Drosophila melanogaster: one gene and its partner. The protein of the gene in region 1 interacts with the protein of each later gene in a pairwise test. Each region holds a gene or a part of one and is shown on either strand. Other genes may lie near its edges. The genes, in order: ms(2)35Ci and hoka.

Region 1 (11,903 bases):
TCTTCTCTCCTCACGTTGGCGCTAATGCAAATGTGAAAAGGCATTTTGTGAGCCAAAATGAGGTTGTTGTCGTGCCACTGACAATCTAATTAGAATACAAAATGCTTTTAGAGGCAACTGCAACTTTGGCTTGAGCTCTTGCTCCTTAGCTTCATGCCCAGTGGGTCTTCAGTGGGTTTCAAGTTCATGGTGTTGACATATGTAGCTGGTGGTTGGATAACCCCGACAAAATATATATCCCCTTCGTCTCAAACCCTATGGTTGAATAACATTTTGACAGCACCTTCAGCGAGATTTGATTTCACCGACTAGGACATTATTGTGATGAGATGGCGGCTGCTCGGGAAAGTCAGTGTCACTTGATGGCCGCGATTGGGATGCAGCCATCGAGGAACTGCGGTTCAAAATTGTCAACTTGTATTCATAATGAGTGGAAAGTTTGGCAGGCAGTTGAGTAATATTGCAGATAGATTATCTACGGTCTAAATGGAAAATTAAGTCGGATTAGCGATTCAAGTGAAGTGCACATAAGTTTACCAGTGTCGTCTGTCTTTAACCTTTGGTCTTAGTTTGTTTTACTTTAGTTTAAACAAACTTAGCTTAGCACTATTATATTGAGTTTGTTAAATTAAGCCAATTAGATTTTGAATTTTTCCAGTATTGCTAAGAATATCTTTTATCAGAAGAATAGCTTCCTCGAAAGCAATTTTCCCTCAACCTTAAATGAATCATGCGTCACGTAGCTTACCCCATCTGCTCCACCTTGTACAACAAGTTTCAACTTTGAACTTTAACAATTGATTCGATGTGCCCACTCATGGCTGCCCAAGTGGTTTTTTGTACCAGGAACTGACATCACATTGTATGTGTATACATACTTGAAGTATGGATGGAGGTGGAGCAGGAGGAGATCACAGCACGTGCAGGGAGTCAACAAGGCAGACAGACACACATATTGGGCTAATTAAGCAGATTTCAAATGAAAGCCAACAAAGAAGAGATTCGATCGTGGGCCAAGCGACACCACCTGGAGCTGAATCTTTAGAGATGGAGATGGGGTTGGAGAGGGACCGTGGAGCACCCACAGAGATCGGAGCACCCATGGCACGCGATAATCAATCAAAAACCATTAAAGCCAAGCGTTTCAGTCGAGACAAAGACAATCAGTGCGGAGTAGAAAGCATTTCGCTGGAAAGAAAAGGCGTAGAAAATAAGGGGCAGACGCGGCGGGTGGGTGTGGCCAAATCAAATATGCGTCAAGACAAGTTAAAGATCAAAATCAAGATCAAATAGAGCACAAGATCAACTACGTCGGGGGAGGTGGGGGAGGAACAGCAGTTGCAGCAAGATGATTGACAGAATTAGAATAGGAAATCGTGAGCGTTGCGGGGGAGTCCCCTCTTTACGATTACGAGTATTATTAAATGACCCAATTGCGGCTAAACGGCTTTTTGTTTGGGCCAAGAAAAGTGAATGGAGAAGAATGTCGCCTGTCTGGGCTTCGGTTGCAGTACCTCCTGCCTTCCCCCCCTGGCCAAATGTCGCTCAGAGTTGGCAAATGCAAATTAAAGCCCACCACAACACATCGACTTCCCAGTGTGCAACTTTCTAAATGAAATTCCAATCGCACTAGGTCCAACTTCTCCTGCCCCTTCTATTTTCCTTCATGCTTTTCCGCTCATGTGTGCGCAAAATTAAAGAAATAATTTCGAGTAAAAATATAACAGCTGATTGTCACCTGGCAGGCGAGAAAAACTGTAGAGCCTTCGTGGGTCTGGCTAAATCAAAGACTTGACATCGCGAGCTCCTTTCTAAAAACGTTTCTGCTAATTTACATCGACAAATGCAGCTGGCGTACTAAATTTGGGACTACATAGGTAAAATATTATAAACTTTTGTAATTAACTTCAAAAAAAAAAATGCTCTATCAGTTCACAACAATAAGATTTTCTTGCTTATCACCTCTTATTTCTGATTAGCTAAGTCACCCAAAAAGTATCCATAAGATTCTTTTTTTTTTAACGCATTTTGTTTGTGATCGCCCTTTACCAATATTTTTCGCCCTGTGTATAATTTATCCACCAATTGTCTCCCCAGTGGGCTCAATTAGAGACGCATTCGCAAATTGCATTGCACTTTTATTGTCACCACTCGCGAGAAGTGTCTTGGATTTGAGTTTGAGCTTGAGTGCGGTGGCATTTTGTCGCGACGCCTGCGACGGTGTCTGGATCCCATCATCAGTCACTCCTGGACAGTCCGGGTCCAAGTAATTGCCCCCGACATGCTCCGGCGGCAGTCCGAGCCCCAACCACTTGTAGGCATTTTGTTTGACTTGGATTATCGCTAAGTGCATGGGTTTAACATTCCGCGGATGTCCAACTAAACGACGGATTAAGCGGCACCACTTGTCGGTTTGTTGTTCAGGTCGATCCCGACCTTGCATTGCAGGAAATTATTGAAAATTAAAGTTTTTCTAAATTAAGCTGAATATGTGTAAGCAATTTACAAGGTTTACCAATGTAACATGTAGTTTTTAAACACTATTCATTAATATTATATTCTTGGTCAGCCATGGATGTCTTTTTAGCTGGAAAACTAAACTATGGTAACACATTGTAACCTTTCTACTCCACTTTTAAAATGATGTACTGATCATTTTGGTCTCCTTTCGCGGCTTATTCAAAATAATTCAGCCACAGCAACAGTTTAAGGCCAATCTGTTCAGCACATTCACACTACGCTCATGATCCCCGTAAACGGAGTACCCGCATCCCATGCCAAGTGCCCATTAAACCGCATATATAAATCACCATTAATTTGACAGTGGATTTTTACATAACTCAGGCCAACAGGTGAAAGCGAAAAGCGCACAGCTGCCGGCGGACAGTGGAGAGATCATGGTGTGTCATGGAAAACTCGCCACTTGCACTCGTGGAAATTGACTGGTCTCCCCGAAGACCCTGCTCCTGCTCCTGCTCCACCGCCTCATCCACCACCTGGAGGAAGAAGGAGGAGGAGGCTGGCATGCAAAATCGAATTGTGTGCTAATATTTGGCCAAAATGCAAAGAGCCCGCGGTTATCGCTGCACCACGAACATGACGAAGTGACTCCAGATGGGGAAGTTTTCAATGCTGCCGCTGCAGTAATAAAAATCATTACTTTCCAGCCCAAATTGGCAAATGTTGGCAGCGGGAGAATGCGAATGCAGGATTTTCGCCTGATCGACATGCAATGTCAGGGAAATTGCTGTCAAATGGGTAAAAGTTGCAGCAACACTATGGAAAAAATCAGCGATTTTGGTGAAAATGATGATGGCAAATTATGAAAGGGAAAAATACTAAAGATACGCATTTAACAATAACTTATTCTAATATTTATTTTCTTGAGCGAACTTAGTGAAATGGGATCTTAAACCTTCGAGGGAGATGCCATAGAAGAAAGCTAACATTGGTATGAAAAAACTGTGCCGTAGCAAAACATGGCTTTTGTTTTAGCCCTAACCGCAGATAGATGTCCCAGCTAAAAGCTTTTCCCGAAAAATTCCGAACGCCGATACCCCCATAACCACCAACACATGACAGGCACAATTTCTCAATTTTATTTAGGAGGCAAGCAAAGAAATCTTTTACTTTCACTGACGACGCACATTCTTGAAGCGCCGCTCGGCCTCCGTGGAGCTGCTCTGGAAATTCTGCATCCAATCCTCATCCGAATATTGATGCCGCCAATGGCACAATTGGGAGTTCAATTCCTTTCGCTGGTTGAGAAACAGTGAGGTGCGTGACTTGGGCACGACTATCATATTGGTCAGATGCATCTGCATGTCGCGGTACAACTGCCCCTTGCGATTGCGTTTGTCCAGCGACTGCTCCCCTCGCAGATGCAGATCGTTGGAGGAATTGATGAGTCTCAGGTCCGAGCTCGACTTAAGGATCAACGATAGATCGGATTGAGAGCGCTTTAAGCCATATGACCCGCTCGTGCAGGGCTCCTCATTCTGATTGATTGGTTTAGGTATCAACTTGCGCAGTTCTTGCACTTCCGCCGCCAAGAAATCCAGGCGTGCCTCAAGTCTGGTCAGTACCTCACTGGGTGTCAGTTCTGAAACGGGAGTGGTCGCCACAATGGGTCCATCGGCAAATCCATCAGTGCGTTGCCTCGCATCCGATGGCAAGAATTGGGGGGAACTGGTTGCCGCATATAGTCCTCTGTTATCACCCACTTGTTCTGCCTCTATATAATGCCCAGGTGGTGTGTGATACTCATTCCGGTGGGTCATTATGTCACTTAATAAGTCTGCTGAAAGTGGCACAATTCGCTTCATTCCGGAGGATTTTACTTTACTTTTAATTTGGAAACAAACTAGTTGAATTATATCTGAATACACATGATATGGCAAAAAAACCTTTGATTTTTGATTGAAAGGGAAATGGACACTGTGCAGTGTTATATATATTAGTTCAGAGAATTGTATGCATAGTTTTTTGGTAATTGTAAATTTGCAGAAGTATATAAAACACGACTAGGTTTATTGTAATACCAAGATTCCCTCCGAAGGTCAAAATTTTTTTAAGTTTTGTAGCTTGTTACTTTAAATTGATTGTTCTACTGCCTATTAGTTGGAATAAGCACCTTTTATAATGTTGTCAAATATTTTCTCAGATAAACAAAATTTGAATGCACACAAGACACTAAGGAAAGTCCGGCAATCCGCATAATTTCAAAGGAGTTCCTTCGAAAAATTGTCAAATGTTGTAGGGTCCTCGGATACCTGGCAACAGAAATGGAGCTCGGAAGAGACTTCATCAAAAGGACGTTAGAATTGTCACGTATGTGAAATAAATAGAAATTATATCCACTCGCTAAGAAATTCCTTCTGAACTCAGAATGCCAATAATCAAGAAGTTCTGCTATTGTTTTAGTCTAAGAATTGGCGCATTTTCAATTGCGTACGCAGGTCTTACAATGGATGTATTAGATACAGTAGCGACTATATATACTAAGTCGCAATATTGCGCTGATATACTACTCCTCTGGATAATTTCCACCATTTGGAATATCATTTCCGCATTGGTTCTTTTGACTGCACTTTTTCGGGTAAGATCAATCTGCCATGATACATTTAGCATCACTAGGTATCTGAGCATCCTTTGTTTCAGGAAAATCCGCATTTGCTGCCAGTTCATCTGGTGACTTCTCTTTGTGGCCTGATGCTCGAAATGACCAATCACATGGTGATTGCCTCCCTTGGCAGAACCGATTACGTTTTGATATCCTATGCGTTCATTATGATTGCCTGTAAGTGATGGCCCCCTCTTGATCACATCTACTTCAAAAAAAAAAAAAAAATCGCCCACAGTTGTATCTGCGGACGTCGTGATCGTGCTGAGCTACTACCAATCGGAGGTTTAGTGAACCACTCCGATTACCCATTAACCCAGGCAACCGACCGGGCGCAGCATGTAGCATTTTGTGGTGCGCGATTAGGCGCGAAAATTTATTTGGAAAATGTTGCGCAATCCGCGCCGTGCATAAATCGTGGCCAATTGTCACCAGCGGATTGGCAACCGAACCTCAGCGACCTGCGTTTAATTATCGCCCCGCCAGCGCCCGCCGAGCTACATGCGTGCTAATTGACCAGGCTGCAGCTCAACGCTGCTCCAATCCGAAATCCGAATACGAATCCGACTCCGACTCCGAATCCCCAGTCCAAGTCCACGTCCCAGTCCCAGTCCCAGTCCCAGTCCAAATGTCCAAATGATAACCGCGACGATGAAAACGCATGCTGAGCCAAATGAAAATTATGTTGCAATGGGGCAGGCGTGCTGCTCGCTGGCTGGTCAGTGAACCGCAGTTTGCACCACCATCCATCCATGGGGCTTAATTAATTTCCTTGATTAATTGAAAGTGCGCCTTGCTCGCAGTATTTTCGTTTTCTGTCTTGCTTTTTTTTTTTTTGTTTATTTCTGGGCCATGGTATGTTTATGTGTATTTTTGGCAGTGCAAAGTTGAAGGCAATAAGAAAAATCGCCCCGGATTCGATTCGGTAGTATGTGATGGGCGTTGCCCTGGCCAACCCTTGGCCATTACTCTTGGCCCGAACCGTACCTTTCCATTTTTCCTCAGCTGGTATTCGATTATGGCCGGAATTATGATCCTTGTTGGTTGGATTCGGTGCAATTACTTCGGGATGCCCTGTAAAATGTAAGCAACTTTTTAAGTTGTTGTTTAAAGCGCTTAAAAAATAAGTCAGTAGAATTACTCTTCGAAATAAAATCTTAAAAAACAATGTCTCTATACAATACCATTCGGGTCATTTTCAACATAAACAATGATCATACATCACCAGCGAATCGGAACCATAATCTTTGACCTTGTCAACCCACTGAGAGCAGCAAGTACATCAAGATAAATTAAGCCTCAATTGTGGATTCAACATCAGGCCAACTAACATCCATCATTCCAGTTTTATGGCCGCACAATAGAACCCGGAATACCCAGCGAGTCAATTTTGCAGCGGCAACTAAGTTGCAATTCAACTTGCAACGTTCACCGAAAATTCACTGATTTCATAAAATATTACGATAAATGTCGCTTTCAACATTTATAAGCCAAAAGGATTTTAATACTTTATTGCTTATAACCGCAAAGCGACAGTAAATGCTCCTACTTTAAGAAACAAAATGCAATCGCATTGAGGCGAATCGAAAATAAGGAAAACAAGAAAAATGAATTGTCTTCATTTTGTAATTTAATGGTATTTTATTGAATTTCTGATGCGAATGGGCAGGGACAAGGCGGATTGCCCCCATCCTTGGGGTATCTGTATCTGTATCGGAATCGGGATCCCATCCCATCCCATCCGATCCGATCTTCCCCAGCCTGTTGACATTTAAAATATGGCCGCGTGTCAATGCGACTGCCCTACGCCCATTTTTAAGTCAGGTTTACATTTCGATTTCGGTTTCGATTTTTAATTCGCAACTCGCCCGAAATCCCAGCGTAAATTCAATTTGAAGGTCCGAAGGAAGGCCTGCAGAAAAATGTGCTTTCACTTGACCCGCAATGCTGCGTAAATAAATTTTATCGCATCGCTGACACGTGCGCGTAATATTTCATTAAATTTAAAAACTACACCAAGGGAAATATGCAAAAGTAACGAAAAAAAAAAAATAAAGAAAATAAATATAATTGCGTTCGGTTCAAAACGGCAGCATAAACAAATCGGCGATTGCATCGTAACTTCGTTTTCAATTTGGCAAGTTTGACACTTGGCCAGTTAGTGAGTGTCCCGCGATCTCCGCCAGGCATTCCAAGTCCACCTCACCAGTCCGAAGTGTGTGCCACCTACGTTGGGCCAAACTAAGAGTCCAGCTTTTCCACCTGGAGTCAACCTGTCGTTGCTACTGCCGCCTGCCACTCACTTGCCGGCAGTGCGTGCTGCAGTTGCTCCTGTGGCTGCTCTGATTGCGAATGCCAATTGTTGGCGAAGCAATGCCAATGTTTATGATGGCTCATAATTTGTTTGCCCGCGGCTAGGTCGTAAATGGAGCTCAGGATTTATGCACAGGCCAGTCTAATTACTAAAGTAAATGGTGAATGGTATTTAAATTTAAATATTTTCAGGGTTATTAATTTTTATACTTTCGGTTGAATTCTTCATAAATGTCCGGTGGTTTGTAATGTTTTTTCTGGGCCTTGAAGACAGGAAAGTTTTATCCTTTACAGGAATTCTTTATTAAAATATCTATACAAATTAATATAAGGGCACTGCAACTTTGAAAGTTTAGTCCATACACACATTTACAGCACTAAATACAAAAAAAAAAAAACTTGACAAAATGAACGCCCACAGAGACGGACTAAGTCGCAAGAGTGATGTACGCCTATTATGAATAATTTTTAAAGACTGGCAAGAACGCCATAAACATATGGCCATTATGCTGTACGCTTTGGCTAATGGCCCGCCTGCCACTAAGCCCACTGAGGTGAGAGGAATATGTACATACATACACATGTTTCGGCTCTTCCCGTGCCGGAGCAGCACTTCCAATGAGCTCGTAAAACTCGCCGGGCTGTGGGACGATTGCTTCCAGAGCTTCTTTCGGTGCTTACTGATGTCTTAGATGCAACTACAAGTGCTGCTGCTCCCGCTGGTCATTAGCCGAGATGGCGGCACGCACCCGATGCGGCTTGGAGTTGGGTCATTTGTGCCGACGAATGGGGCGTCTCTTAAGCCGATGCTAATTTCCATAATGCACGCCTTGATGGCGGCCAACAGGTCCTGATCCCCACTGCGTTTTCCACACTCTGCGAATAAAAAGTGGGGGTTATGGGTCTGGGTTTTATACGCTTTACATATGTAAGCTTACAAGTTCATTTGTAATTCAAGTTCAAGCACCCAAAAAATACTCTCTATATATGCAGTAAGTATTTTTGAATAATGTTTTAGTTTTCAGTGTGCTATCACCTCGAAATGAGTAAATGTCTGGGTAATCTAGGAAACTTAGCTTGCGGAATGGTCACGTGATACGTCAGGTGCGGGAGAAACCTATTCTGAAATACAAAAATGAGTATTTTGCAATCAAATGAAAGCCAAAATCCAATTTAGGATCGCCTCCAGTTGACACCTCCGTGGCCTAGAGACTCCACTTGCCTCGACTGTGGCCCTGGCCATGGCGATTTAATGGCTTCGCAATTGGCCTGACCCATCTGTGGACCAGGCCAAGTGCCAGGTGATCGTGGCCAGTATGACTGCGAATCGTGGAGCGGAGCAGGCGGCTTTTGTCGCTGTCCCCGGCAACATGAGTATGATTTATTGTACTTTATGTGGCCGGAGCAGCTTCTGCCCGCAGTTCGTGATGGCTTCGCTGGCTTCGTTAGTCGCGTTCCTGGGATCTGGATGCATTGCTATATACTCTGTACATGGGTATTTGGAAAGTGTTCTGTGCCAGGAGTACTGTATTTTTGGTTGTGCTTAGCATATTAAGTGGTAACTTATACATGATGACCTAAGGAATATGCAGCATGAAGCAGCAAATCACACGATCTATTTATATAAAATAAGGACTATAAGCTCACATGATATTGCAAGGGTATTACAAAGTACGGTTCTAAAACTTAAACGTATTTTGCTTTTTTGATCTGAAAATTCTGCACTTGGCCGTGCGGCGATTATGTGTATCATTTTTCTTTGCCAGCGGCTGGGATTCTACGTTATTGTATTTTATATTATTTGTGCTTAATTTGGGGAGCACAGGTAAGGAGCAGTGGGAGCCGTGCACCTGATCCCAAGAGTGTTGTGACTCTTGAGGCCGCTGGACAAGTTCGTTGATTCGCGGCAGGCAAATGACCATGTGCTCCTCAACATTTTGTGGGCAGGAGCACTTGGACTATTAGCCAAGATATTTTCCCTCCCCTTTCCTTTTTTTTTTCGTTTTTTTCCTTTTGTCAATTCCCAGGGACTTTTGCTTGGCCAAGGAACGAGATTTATGTTAGTATGGTGTCAGTTTAAGTTAATGGGTTATACTCCCCGCCAGTTTTTTATTTAATATTTTATAGGCGAACGTTTTTTGTGCGTCTCATTCTTATTTTTATGCACAATTTTATTCTTTTTCCTTTGGCTGCTGCGCAGGTGAATTTTTTTTGAATTTATGACCATACCTTTTAAATTGCTTTGTGGCAATTTCCGTGGCACCCACACAATGCGAGAAGTTAATTTATTAGTAAACTCAATGTTTCAGGTTTGTTATGATTTTTGTTTTTTAGCTGAAAAACGACTTAAGTATATATGTATAATCTATATAATCTATCTATATAATCTATATTTTTCCCTGCTTAACGAGTTGCTATTAAAAATCTGACACATTAACTTTTAGTAATTTTCGCGTATGAATATGTATCACAAACACATTCGACTACAAGCTTTATATCGAATATTTTATCGGAAATCAGTGTTAATCAGGACTCTCTCAAATGTCATTTTGGCAAGCTATAGTATTGCAAACCAAAGCGATCTCTGCCACACGTGTTTTTTCCTCGCAACGCTTATAAATTACGAGATAAGCTCTGAGTCTTATAGAAATCCAGAGTAAGATATGAAACGTCATTATTACAATACTGGGGATGACCAGCAGGAGGTGGAGAGCTCTCCAAGTCCGCCGCCTCCTCCGCCTTTCCAATCGCCATTATCATCGCCCGAGTCTTTGCAGACCCCGGATGGATATCCCATTTTGTACGTGGATGTGGTAAAGAATAAGCCCAAACAGGAGTTGCCGCCGTCCGCATCACCGTCCCAACCACTTGCGCCGGAGTTCAGCATCTTTCGCGAAGATTTTCCGGCTCTGCCAGGATCATTACCATCTGCATTACCAACCGCATTACCAACGACATCGAGCCCTGTGGTGCCCGACGACTGGACAGCCATGATGAGCAACAGCGAGCAGGTCGAACTCGCCAAATTTCGAAATACAGTTATCCGTAATTCCAGTGATCCGTGCGTTAACGCTAACGGCAACGAGGTGCTCCGTCAGCCAACCCATGCTCCCGAGAAGCGCCAGAATATGGAGTTGCTGCCCCATATGTACGGTTATCTCGGCAATCCGTTCCGTTTAAATTTGAGCATGATATTTACCAAGCAATTCCTGCTCGAAGGCGTCAGGCAGAGGGCTATAAATGCGGCCCACAAGAGGGCTGCCCTGGCAAAACCAGCAATCCAACCACCACCCGGATTCGAGAATTGCAAAATTTTTGCCCGCTTGATAACCAACAGTGATGGTATGCCACTGGGTGGAGTCACATTTGAGCTGGGCTCACCCACTAATGAAACGACTTCGAATGTGGAGGCGAAACCTTCGGGTTCCACCATTCAGGGAGCCTTTGGGATGTTGGGACTGGCCAAGAAACTGCGATCGATTAATCAGAACCCGCTTCTATTCGGAAATAATGTTGCCCACAATATAGGCGGAGCCGCGGACTCGATCTTTACCGGGCCAATTCAAGAAGCCCGTTTGACTCCTCAGGAGATGAGCTACAAATTGCCATTGAACTATCTCTTCAATGTAAATATGAGCCTACAGGAGCCCAAAATCGAGGAAATGCATGATGAGCTCCTATTTTTCTTCTTCTACACATATGCTGGCGACATGATGCAGATGCTCGCGGCTGCTGAACTGGCGGAACGTGGATGGCGCTATCACAAGTATGAACATTTCTGGGTCATTCGCCAGGCGGACAATCCCAACTACTTATATCACGGATTCCGGGAGTTCGGAGAGTACAATTACTTCAACATGTGGCAGTGGAAGATCCTGCCACGACACTTTTACCTGGATCCCGAGATCCTGGAGCGCACTCTATCCAAGGAAGAGCTGTATGTGACGTACGGATACCATCCCCAGATGTCGGGTATTTAGAAGAAAGTTCTTTTGTCATCAATAGCCAGGGATATACGGGTTTAAAAATTCTCTCTGACGCTGTAGCATCTTTTTTATAAAAACAAATTAAATTTTTTATAAATATTCATAAGCGTTTTATTAATAAATTCAGTGTGGGGAATGTATTTATTTATATTTAGTATATATAGTTGCCTGTTTTCTTAGTTCTATCAATTGGTGTTTTTTGCGAATTTGTAGTGTTCATATTTATTCACTATTTATTTATTATTGTATTAAAAGTTAACCAGCGGATGACCAACCCATGTTTTAGTCACCTTGCAACCACGGACCCACCGCCGAAAAAAATCCAAGCAACCACACCCTCCAAATGCCATCGCAAATCCACAATCCACACAAGACCACTGAGTACCCAGCACCACCACCACCTTCATAGCCAAGCCCCAAAGATACGAGGAAAATCGCAGCGCTCATTAGCAAAATGGAGCAGACGGACAGTTGCACATTTG
Region 2 (12,170 bases), on another chromosome or scaffold:
GTTGCGCCAATTGTTGGCATTTACAGCTACTTGGCTGGTGGGCCCTTGACTTCGCCCGAGATACCCCGGGATCTGCTTTGTGAGGCAGCTTAGATGTGCAGCTCAAGTGGCGCACTGGGGATTTTTCAATTGCGTTTATAATAAATTTCGATTTGTCAGCGGCGAAACGAGGAAGCGGCATCAAGTGGCCGCCGCATCCCAAGTGCCGCCAAAATCAGTCGGCGATATAGAAGCAGATACAAGCTACAAAATACGAACTCAAAGCGAGCACAGCTCAATTCCCGAAACTGGAGCAGAATGCTTTCTTTGAGAGCGCGATAATCAAATGCAATCTTGTCACTCTAATAATCTAAACCCTTTGAATAGTTGTGATGCCTCACTGCTTTGACATCATTGTAATGGGGTTCGCAAATAAGAATCATATATACACTATTTAACTTCATTTATTTCTTCATATACAAAAATCACGTCTGATCGCTATGACCGCAAAATTACAATGGAGAAAGAAAGAATACAGTTCAGTTCAATTAGCATCGATATATAAAATGTTAATCCGCTGTTAAGACAGCTGAAGCACCGGGTGACTCCGCTCATAATCCGTACATGCCGCCCGCCAATGCGTCGTCCAGCATGAAGGCTCCTTGTGATTCTTGATCCGTGTGTTGATCATAATTATGTTGAAATCGGAAGTGGACAAAGCTTTGTGATTGACCTCTTTTGAATGCCAGATTTCGTCTTTAATGTAACTACTCTGACTAGCGAGTCCGATCCAGGGTGCAGTTCGACGACTCGGCCTATAGTCCATTTAGCTGGTGGTAGATTATCATCCTTTATAATGACTAAGTCGTTGATGCTAAGATTATCTTTGATTTGGCACCACTTTGGCCGAGTTTGCAAGTGTGATAACCAATCACGAGACCATTGAGACCAGAATTGTCGCGTCATGTGTTGTTGTGCGAGAAATAGTTCACGCAAAGGCTTATTATTCGGCCGACCTTGTGGCGGTGCCAGTAGTGCGTCACCAATTAAGAAATGTGCTGGAGTTAGTACTTCTAAATCGTCAGGGTCGGCGGTTAGCGGGCAAAGTGGACGTGAGTTCAAACATGCTTCAATCCTGATCAAAACTGTAGTAAGCTCCTCATACGTCTGCTTGTGGCTGCCGACGATCCGTTTAAGATGATGCTTCATTGCTTTCACGTTTGCCTCCCAGATGCCACCAAAATTGGGAGAATATGGAGGTGTGAAATGCCACCTTGTCCCATGTTGACATGTCGATTCGTTTAGGGCTGCCTTGCAAGTGATGGGCTGGTTAAGCGATGTACTCGCGCCAACAAAATTTGTGCCGTTATCACTATACATATGTTGAACTTGTCCTCGACGTCCGGTGAATCGCGTAAATGCTTGCAGGAAGTGCTCTGTTGAAAGTCCAGTGACGGCTTCCAAGTGGACCGCCTTGGTTGCTAAGCATATAAAAATGGCTACATAGCCTTTGTAGGTGGTTGATCCTCGTACACGCGCGGCTTGAAGTTCAATCGCACCAGTGTAGTCAACTCCTGTTGTAATGAACGGACGAGTTGGGGGGTTGACTCGATGTAATGGCAAGTCACCCATCAGTTGCTTCGCTACGACTGGAGCTACCTTAAAACATGTGACGCATTTCCGGATGATTCGCCTGACTGCTTGTCTGCCTCTGGGAATCCAGAATTTGTAGCGTATGTGAGCCAGTGTTAATTGAGCGCCGCCATGTAGAGTGAGCTGATGAGAGTGTTGAATTACCAAATCTGTAAATAGGTGACAATGAGGTAATATAATTGGATGTTTTCGAGAAAAAGAGAGATTTGAATGCTTGAGACGGCCACGAATCCTCAAGATATTGTTGTCAAGAAACGGTGTAAGATTTGAAAGTGTGCTACGGGGTGGTAACGGCTTGTTCCTTTTAAGCGCTTGGATGTCGGCGTGAAATGTATCGGATTGTGCAAGGCGAGCTATGCAGCATAGGGCCTCATCCAGCTCGTCAGGAGAGAGTGATCCGTGACTTCGTTGTGCTCGAGCATGAGCATTGTGGCAGAATCGTAACATGTATGCCGTGACACGTAGCAGTTTTGTATACGACGAGAATCGGTCAATAATAGAATCCTTTGTGTCTGACAAGGTAGTGAAGGCTCTAATTTTTATGGATTTGGCCTCCAGATCCCGTTCTTCTGGATTGAGCAATTGTGATTGCGTGTTTGGCCAAATATTGTGTGGTTTGCATAGCCAGGATGGGCCATGCCACCAAATATCAGGTATTTGGCTCGGTGGTAAGCCTCTGGTTGCGCAATCTGCTGGGTTTTCCGATGTGTCTATGTGGTGCCACTGAGCCGCTGAGGTGTGGTCGAGAATGTAAGACACTCGGTTGGCTACAAACGTTTTCCACCTAGTAATGTCTCCTTTAATCCAGTGCAGAACAATGGTAGCATCGGTCCAGTAAAAGGTAGATATATGTGCATTGGTCCATCGGTTATTCTCCAGCACCCATTTGGTGAGTTTGGTAGCTAATACTGCACCGCATAGCTCAGTGCGCGGTATTGTTAACGGCTTGGTTGGCGAAATTTTTGATTTTGCGACGATGAGCGTTGTATAGAAAGTCCCATCAGACTGTTGGGTGCGTGCATACACTGCTGCTGCGTAAGCACTGGAGGATCCATCGCAAAAGGTGTGCAGTTGTATCTCACTACTAAATAGTGGCGTAAATTTGACGCTGCGTGGTATTTTGATCGTCTTAACCTTCATTAGTTGCTGTCGAAATTGTTGCCATTTGACGGCAATGGTGTTGGGAACTGGCTCATCCCAATCCAGTGATGTACTCGATCCGTCCTCGCGATATTGCTTCGCTAGTGTGATTTCTTTCAATATAATCTTTGCTGAAATTACAACTGGAGCGATTAATCCAAGAGGATCAAATAAACGTGCTATGGTCGATAGGATTTCTCGTTTTGTTATACCGGCTGGAGTATTTGCTAGTAATTTATAAGTGAAGCAATCTTGCTTGGGCAACCAGTACATACCCAGTGTTTTGATGGTGTCCGCATTGTCCCAACTGAGGGATGTCTGCTTGCATCGATGCTCGAGAGGTATCGTTGCCATCAGATCCTGGTCATTACTAGCCCATTTTCGTAGCTCCATGCCAGAGGATTTTAAAGCTAGCATAGTTTGCAAACTTTTCCGTATTGCTGCCTCTTGTGAATGATCGCCTGAGAGAATGTCGTCGACATATATCTCATTTTTGAGAACGTTGGATGCCATAGGATATTTTGTCTGTGTGTCTTCAGCTATTTGATGGATGACTCTTATAGCTGTATAAGGTGCAGACGCTGTTCCAAACGTGACGGTAGTTAAGCAATGCTGTTTGATGACTCCATCCGCCGCCCGCCATAAAATCCTCTGGTACTGCGTGTCATCAGGGTGGACATTGATACAGCGATACATTCGTTGTATATCGGCAGTGAAAACAAACTGATATTGTCTCCAATTCAAGAGAACGGCTGGCAGATCATTTTGCAGCGTGGGACCTACACATAGTACATCGTTTAACGATCTGCCATTTGAGGTCCGGGCCGATGCGTCAAAAACGATACGTTGTTTTGTGGTGAGGCTTTCTTCTTTGAAAACTGCATGATGTGGTAGCACGCATGATGCAACATGCCGACCGTAGGAATCCGTGGTTATGGTTGAGTTTTCGCTCGTCTCTGCCAACGTGATTTGACCTAGTTGAAAATATTCTTCAATTCCTTTGCAGTATCTGATCCATTTGTCTGGGTCCCTTTGAAGGCGCCTTTCGAGTTGAAGATATCTGTTCAGGGCGATCTGATGAGATTTTCCGAGCGTCATACTGGGGTCAAAGTTCCTCTTGAATGGCAAACGGACTTGATAACTGCCGTCTGGTTGACGTTGATGGGTCTGCTTAAAGAAAGACTCGCACCATTGATCTTCTTTGGAGAGCTTTGGGCGTTCTGGAACTGATTCTACCTCGCAAAATACCTTAAGCAGCTCTTCGGAGTTTATTATGGCATGATTACATCGAATGTGGCGTGTAATATGCGTGTTGCCAACATTGCCTAACAGAACCCATCCGAGTTGAGTATTCTGCGCTATGGGTTCGTTTGGCAAGCCAATCTTAGTTCCAGGCAACAAGAGTTGTGCCATAAGGTCGGCTCCAAAAATGATATCGATTCGCTTGGATCTATAATAATAGGGGTCTGCGAGCGTGAGACCATGGATATGACTCCAGTTTCCTGCTGGAAAACTTTGACTTGGCATGTGTGATGTCAACGTGTTCAAAACATAAGCATCGTCGACCTTTAACGAGAAATTTGGGTTAGTTGCTGTTTGCACCGAACAACTTACGATGAATTTGCAGCGTCGTCCTGAATCTTGACCGACTCCGGTGATTGAAGTGCGAGTTGTGCTTCGGGAGAGCTGGAGAGACTGTACAGCATGCTCCGAAATGATAGTTGCTTCCGATCCTTGGTCAAGAAGCGCGTTTACCGTGGCCTGGCATCCTGTCTGTGTGTTACTGAGTACAACCCGAGCTGTTGCTAGTAGTACCTTTCGATGAGTCATAGATGAAGTTGTAGTTGACATGCACTGTAGAGTCGGCTTGGCATCTGAACTGGCTGCTGAACTTTGGCATGATGTCGAGGAGGGTATCAGCGTTGGCTGTGTTGCTGGAAAATGTAACATCGTGTGATGACGTTGACCACAATGAAGACAATTCTTGTTGCTGGGGCAGCTTGCTTGTGTGTGCGATTTTCCCAGGCAATTGAGACACAATTTTGCCTTGCTGGCCACTTCCTTCCGTTGGTAGCAATCCATTGAAAGAAATTGCGGACATCTTCGAAGTATGTGTAAGTTGCCACAATGATAGCAAGCGGACGCGGAAGCACCCGACCTGGTGTGGGCGCTGTGCACACGCACGCGTTTAGTACCGTCTGAAGTTTCATTTGACTGTTTCATGCCGCTGCACGCGTTACGGCTTTCAATAGCGTCTAACGTAACAAGTCGATCATTGAGGAACTGTTGCAGATCTTTGTATGAAGGAACGTCAATCTTGCTGCCCAGATGATGCTCCCAAGCTGTGTGAGTGTCTTTGGGTAGTTTGGTTGTTAGATAATGAGTCAACCAAAAATCTCCTCCCTGTAGTGGCGCCTTGACGGTATTGCAAGCGGCAATGCAGACGTTGACTGTACTAACCATAGACCGTATGTCAGCAGATTTTTCTTTCGAAAGATTCGGTAAGTTGTAGAGCATGTTCATGTGGCTGGCGAACACAATTCGTGGGTTGTTATATCGTTGTAGAAGTGTGGTCCAAGCGACTTCATAGTTTGCTTCAGTTAAAGCGATTTGGCGAATGTCGTTGTCCAGGCCTACTGGTAATGCTTCCTTTAAAAAATGGAACCTTTGAATCTTATCCAGACGCTCATTATTGTGAATTAAGCGTAAAAATGCATCATGAAAACTTGGCCAGTCCGCGCAGTTGCCAGAGAATTTCGGAACTGGTAATTTTGGCAGTGGTATCCGTACTTCCTCTACATGTGTTGTTATTGTAGAGTTAGCTGATTCGTTGTGCGTCACTGTGCCTGGATAAATTCGTTTCTTTTCTTCGGCCACGAAACAGTAAACTTCCATGCCCAGGTCTTCGAATTGGCTGATTGTATTTTGTTGCTTATACACACTTTCTTCGTAGTCTGCCATGCATATAAGTGTGTGATGCGCCTGATGAAATTCTTTGTTAAACTCGTCGATTTGATTCAAACGTTTTTCGAAATATATTTCCGTTTTCCGCGCACTCGAGTCTTTTTTCACATTACTGAACAAGCGCTTCAAAGACTCAATGCGGTCAGTTTGAACTCGCACCAGTTGATCAAATTTCGACATTGTTTATACTGACGTTGCTCCACTGTATGTAATATGCACAAATGCTCGTATGTTATCGGTGTTCTTCTTTGACGTCTTGTTTTTTGAGTTGGCAGAGATTCCGGCAAATCTAACGGAATCGAAGGGCAACGGGACTTAGCTCTGTCGTGATGAGAGCGAGCGCGAACGTTTGCGTATACTGCTCTGTCGTGATGAGAGCGAGCGCGATAGAAAACGTAGGCACGGTGATTTATCTGGATGAAGCCGACCACGAAGATAAAATTGCCAAACAGCTTTTAGCAATTATTAATTATGATTCTTATGAGCAAGGTTCCCCTCATGGGCCACCAATGAATAGTTGTGATGCCTCACTGCTTTGACATCATTGTAATGGGGTTCGCAAATAAGAATCATATATACACTATTTAACTTCATTTATTTCTTCATATACAAAAATCACGTCTGATCGCTATGACCGCAAAATTACAATGGAGAAAGAAAGAATACAGTTCAGTTCAATTAGCATCGATATATAAAATGTTAATCCGCTGTTAAGACAGCTGAAGCACCGGGTGACTCCGCTCATAATCCGTACACCCTTTGATATTTTATATTGGGTGTAGCTTGAAAATAGCTAGTATTTCCGCAGCCCCAAAAGTAGGCATTAATTTGCTTACAAATCTATTCATCTAATTAATCTTCATCCCCAGCATGGGCTATGAAAAATCCAAAACTCAAAACCAGTTTGATTTAATTAGATATAAATTAGCGTTGCGTGTGGTGCAGACAATGAGTAGACAAACTGGATCGGTCTTGGGCGGATATTGGGCCGCTTAGCCGGTGCAATAAAATGTTAAAAGCCAGCGTGTATCGTCTTAAAAACCGTTTAACCGTACAAATGTGAAGCTAGTTTGGCGCCAGATAAGTGGCAAATAATTTTATTCGAAAATGAAGGTAGACAAAGGGCACAGGTTCTATTTGTGTGTCGATTAAATGACAATAAAGCTAGTTAATGGTGGAATTTGAACTGATTTGGAAAGGGTTATGAACCAAAAGTGGTCACTTGGATCTGTACACATCTCCTCAGACAATAGCGGTGGCATGCGTTGGAGTGGGAGTCACATTGGCCGTCTCATGAGTCTGGGCAGGAGTATAGGTTGTGGCCGTGGCCGGATCGTGAGTCTGGGCGGGAGTATAAGGTGTGGCCGTCGCATGAGTCTGGGCGGGCGTGTAGGAGGCCGCCGTCTGATCTGGTTCCTTGTCCAGGATCACCTTCTTGAGGATGAAGTAGAGGGCTCCACCAATCAGCAGCTCACCTACCGCTACACAAACGATGAGAGCCCATCCGGGAATAGCAAGGCCAGCTGCAAGAAATAACAATGTTGAGCAATATCGATCACGTATACGGCATCACTTACTGAAGTATCTGCGGGTAAGGGTGCGTCGTCCGCGGTTCACACGTCGCGTGGCCTCCGATTCTTGCAGGCAGCAGGCCAACAGTACTACAGAATAGAAAAGAATATACAAATTTAATATTTGTTAGACATAGTGATTCGTCCGAGGCGCAAAACACACATCATACACATTTTTTCAATGATCACGCGGCGTGTGGTCGAAGGTGGCCTGGTAAGATTGCGGCATTGGCTTTGAAGCATCCATCAAACCCAAGCCAAACGGAACTCATTGAAATAACAGCAAGACCATTCATCATATAGATCTTCAAATGCGCGAAGACTTGTTAAGATATTAACAATTAATCGTTGAGAAAATGTTTAACAACAGAGCCGGGCCAAAATCAACAAAAAACGCTGATTCTGATTGAGCCAAAATAGCGCGCGCGCGCCAACTTCTTCGATGATAAATGTGAGCTGGCATATTCCTTCCCCATTGTTCCATTGCGGATGTCAGATTCGATTTCACGTAAAATTATCAAAATGTATTTTTAATTAATAATATTTTATGTGTGTGTTCGTTCAGCTCATTCGGCATATTTTGCGTATGAAATATTAAATGGATTTGTTTGTCGATATGGAAAGTGTATAGATTTTTCCTCGATTCGATTAGTCGGTGATTCATGGAGACAGGCATTTGACAAAACCCATCCGCCAAATGTATGTGGCTAAGAGTGCGACCGATTTTCGTTGGCCAACCGCTAACCAATATTAATTGTTTTCATTCACTTTTTTGTCTAACATATTTCATAATTTATATGCGCAATAATTATGCCACTTCCGGTTTTAGGGCATTGGACTTTTGGCCTAATAAAAATTGCATGAAATCAAAGGAAATGATTTCGCATTTACTCACTGCCAGCTAAATTATATGTTTTATTTGGGATACCTTTCAATCCAAAAAGATTTCCCTCTGAACTCACTGATTCACCACGCCCTAAAGTTAAGCACACCAAGTGATGGGGCAACAATGAGTAAACACAGTGCTTATCTGAATCGCACTGATAAGCACACATTTTTGTAGAGTTTTCTTGTGCCTGATTGTGTGACGCACACTTGGCCCAGTTACTCATCGTTAGAGTCTCCAATTGCTGAAGTTGGGTTATTAAAACCCCACACCTATGGAATCATACGGATGCATCAGTGCATCATAATGCGTTAAAGTCTCACACATGCACAATACTCCGCCCACACACATGCACCAAAAAGTATCTCGCCGGTGTGCTGCGTATCTCTAGTTGGCACTCAAAACTCGGCAGATTCGAACGAGCATGCAGAACTTTACCCAGGCATATCACCAAGTAGGTGGAGCACTTCTTAGCCAACTTCATTTCCGTCGTTTTCGTCGGTTCTTTCGAAAAACTTATGTTCGCTTTTAGCTGTTAGCCAAGTTTGTAACGCGCACGTCGTCGACTCCAAAGTGGAACTAAAAACCTGTGCGTGATTGCATTCGTCGGCAGGTGCTAGTATCTTATCTCAAAGCACCTTATCTTTCATTGATAAGATTAGAAGGCTCTCTTTTCTCCCGCTATATATTACTTCTGAGGTCATCAGCACTGAAAAAAATAGTTTCATTTATGTTCAATCTAAAATGTCTCCTATATTTCTAAGCCTAACATGTTCAATATGCAAAATTCGTTGAGTTCAAGTCCTTACACAATATTTTATATCTGTACTATCGAAGGACAATAAGAGTCTTCTTTATTTATTGCCCATTTTAAAAAATATTTTTATAAAATCTTTTCACCAACTCCTTCGACTTTATAAGCTTTATCCCAATCCTAGGCATATTGTTTAAAAGATAGTTCGAATATTTAAAAATATTCTGCAAAAAGATATAGTAGTTGTAGGATATTTGTTTTAAAAATGTTTATTATTGTAAGTTCGGGTTTGTACTCGGGTTGTTCATAGTGGATTCAAATTGACTAATACGCTCGACTTATTGTTAGTTTCAATCTGAGACTGTCAAAGTCAGGACTTCTTCTGGAAAAACATCCTCGAAAATCTCAAATGCTGCGGTGGGAGTTGGCGCAATCGGCGGCTTAGTGGCGACGGAGCTTCAGACGACGGACGGTCTTGTAGCGGTAGCCATCGCTGGCCAGGACGGTCTGCTCGGCGGGCACATCAATGATGGCAGAGGCGGTCTCCTCCACGGGGGGCAGGTACTCGCCGGAAGGCAGCTCAGAGACATCACGGCGGCGACGGATCACACGACGCACGGTCTTGTAGCGGTATCCATCATCAGCCAGGGGAGTCTCCACAGCAACAGCCTCGGAGGCGGACTCCTCAACAGGGGGCAGGTATTCAGGGGACAGCTCGGAGACATCACGACGACGACGGATCACACGACGCACGGTCTTGTAGCGGTATCCATCATCAGCCAGAGGAGTCTCGACGGCAACGGCTTCGGAGGCGGATTCCTCAACAGGGGGCAGGTATTCGGCGGACAGCTCGTTTACATCACGACGGCGACGGATCACACGACGGACAGTCTTGTAGCGGTATCCATCAGCAGCCAGAGGGGTCTCAACAGCAACAGCCTCGGAGGCAGACTCCTCAACGGGGGGCAGGTACTCGCCGGAAGGAAGCTCATTGACATCACGACGACGACGGATCACACGGCGGACGGTCTTGTAACGGTAACCATCATCAGCAAGAGGGGTGTCCACAGCAACAGCCTCAGAGGCGGACTCCTCAACAGGGGGCAGGTATTCAGGGGACAGCTCGGAAACATCACGACGACGACGGATCACACGGCGGACAGTCTTGTAGCGGTAGCCATCATCAGCCAGGGGAGTCTCGACGGCAACAGCCTCGGAGGCGGACTCCTCAACAGGGGGCAGGTACTCAGGGGAGAGTTCGGAGACATCACGACGACGACGGATCACACGGCGGACAGTCTTGTAGCGGTAGCCATCATCAGCCAGGGGAGTCTCGACAGCAACAGCCTCGGAGGCGGACTCCTCAACAGGGGGCAGGTACTCAGGGGAGAGTTCGGAGACATCACGACGACGACGGATCACACGGCGGACGGTCTTGTAACGGTAGCCATCATCAGCCAGAGGAGTCTCGACGGCAACGGCTTCGGAGGCGGATTCCTCAACAGGGGGCAGGTATTCACCGGAGGGGAGCTCGTTCACATCACGACGGTGGCGCAACTTCAGGCGGCGCACGGTCTTGTAGCGGTATCCATCGTCGGAGAGAACTCCCTGCTCGGCGGGCACCTCCACGAGTTCGGAGGCAGATTCCAGGTTGTTGTCCACTGGCGGCAGGTAATCCGTGGCAATGGAGGCCGCCGAGGCAGCTGCGATCACAGCAAAGGCAATGACAAAGAATTTCTGCAAGGCAATAAGCGAAGGAGAGGGTTATGGGTTAGTCCTGGTCGCAGGATGACTGCTGGAGAACTAACCATTTTTCCAGAAGATCCAAGACGATGTCTGCTAGATTAATCCAAAGTTGATTCTGTTTTCAAACCAGACCCAACGACACTATTTATACACAAACTGCGCGAAAAGTTCTCGGCTGACCGATGTCCATTCACTTTGCGAGATCAGATGAACTGAGATGAGCTATGATGATCGCTGAGCAAACCGGTTAACAAGCGGCGAACTACCGCATCGATCGATGGCTTCTTCTACTGGGGCCGAACTCAGATTTGGATTGTCTAGTTGCTATTGTCAAAAAGTGTCTCAAGCACCAATTGAACTCTGGCTGGCCATATAAGATGATTAGCGCGGCCAGCTGCCAGAAGACAAAACGAAAGTAAACAAAGACGAGCCGGCGAAGTCCGCAGATTTGTAGATATTTTAGATTTGTAGATTCGTAGGCAGATGGAACAATGGTCGAGGGCTCTTCGATTGTCTCGATTATTTGCATCGATTTATGTCTGCCATATGCTTGAATAGATCGGATACATTTGTGACAATCCATTACCATTGGTAATTGCAAGCGGAAGTCGCCGCTTTTCAATGTATTTTTGGATGCTCTTGCCTCTCGGATCTCGATGAGCGCTTAAGGCCAAGATCGGCCGAAAGTATTTATACGCCATCTCGATTGATACGCGCTTGATGGTCCATCGAGTGTTGCTATTTTTGGTTTTTGCTCGCCACGCTCCATTAGGCGGCTATAAATAGATGAATGATTTAAGAGATCGCCACTTTTCCAATTTTTAATTTATATTTTTAAGCCGAAATAGCGTAGATGCTCCAATTGAGCGGCAGGCAAGCCATAAATCTTGCGGATAAGCTGAAATGGCTTGGCAATCTCCCACTCACAGCGTGTTCGATAGTTCGGAGGAATAGGAATTCATTCTGGCGATGGGAATGTATGATGGAGCACCACTTGACGATGCCAATGGCATTGGCTTGGCGGGAGTGTCGAGTGCGGGGCTGTCTGTCGAAAAGCGTTTGATATGTAGATGGGTTATAAGAATAGAATGGAATGTGCTTTTTATAATGCTGAAACGTGTTCAATTGGTTAACGTTAAATGATTCGTGTATTACATCCTGTTGAGCCTTGTGTTGTGTGTAAATTCTTCGTAATTCGAATTTAAACTGCGCACGAAACACCGATATCTTTCTTTCATTAACTTTATTTCCTGGCCATCTCAAATCGGGGAAAAAAACGGTCTTAATTTCAAATATATTCACACAGCGCTTCGTGGGGCTTTAGGCTTTCGTTTATTCATTTGTAAATGGCGCACATAAAAAATATATCCAGCCAGGCTGTATACTACTACTGTGCATATTTAATTTATATCTGGCAATCAGCATCATCATCATCAAAATGACACTGCCCCTCCAACTTGCCACATTGCCCCAGGTG

Evidence for each region.
Region 2: the proteins of ms(2)35Ci (region 1) and hoka interact in a two-hybrid assay, tested with the Drosophila melanogaster proteins (one large-scale study listed by BioGRID).

The regions. Positions count from the first base shown.
Region 1 is NT_033779.5:15,287,849-15,299,751, forward strand, and holds ms(2)35Ci (male sterile (2) 35Ci), read left to right. Parts: upstream 1-4,619; 5' UTR 4,620-4,830; intron 4,831-4,887; 5' UTR 4,888-4,888; coding exon 4,889-5,098; intron 5,099-5,160; coding exon 5,161-5,299; intron 5,300-5,360; coding exon 5,361-5,413; 3' UTR 5,414-6,288; downstream 6,289-11,903. Other genes in the region: CG15260 (uncharacterized protein), read right to left, coding at 3,633-4,325; CG15262 (uncharacterized protein), read left to right, coding at 10,099-11,415.
Region 2 is NT_037436.4:4,895,504-4,907,673, reverse strand, and holds hoka (hoka), read right to left. Parts: upstream 8,775-12,170; 5' UTR 8,678-8,774; coding exon 8,632-8,677; intron 7,398-8,631; coding exon 7,314-7,397; intron 7,260-7,313; coding exon 6,979-7,259; 3' UTR 6,805-6,978; downstream 1-6,804. Other genes in the region: CG13705 (uncharacterized protein), read right to left, coding at 9,389-10,684, 10,756-10,758.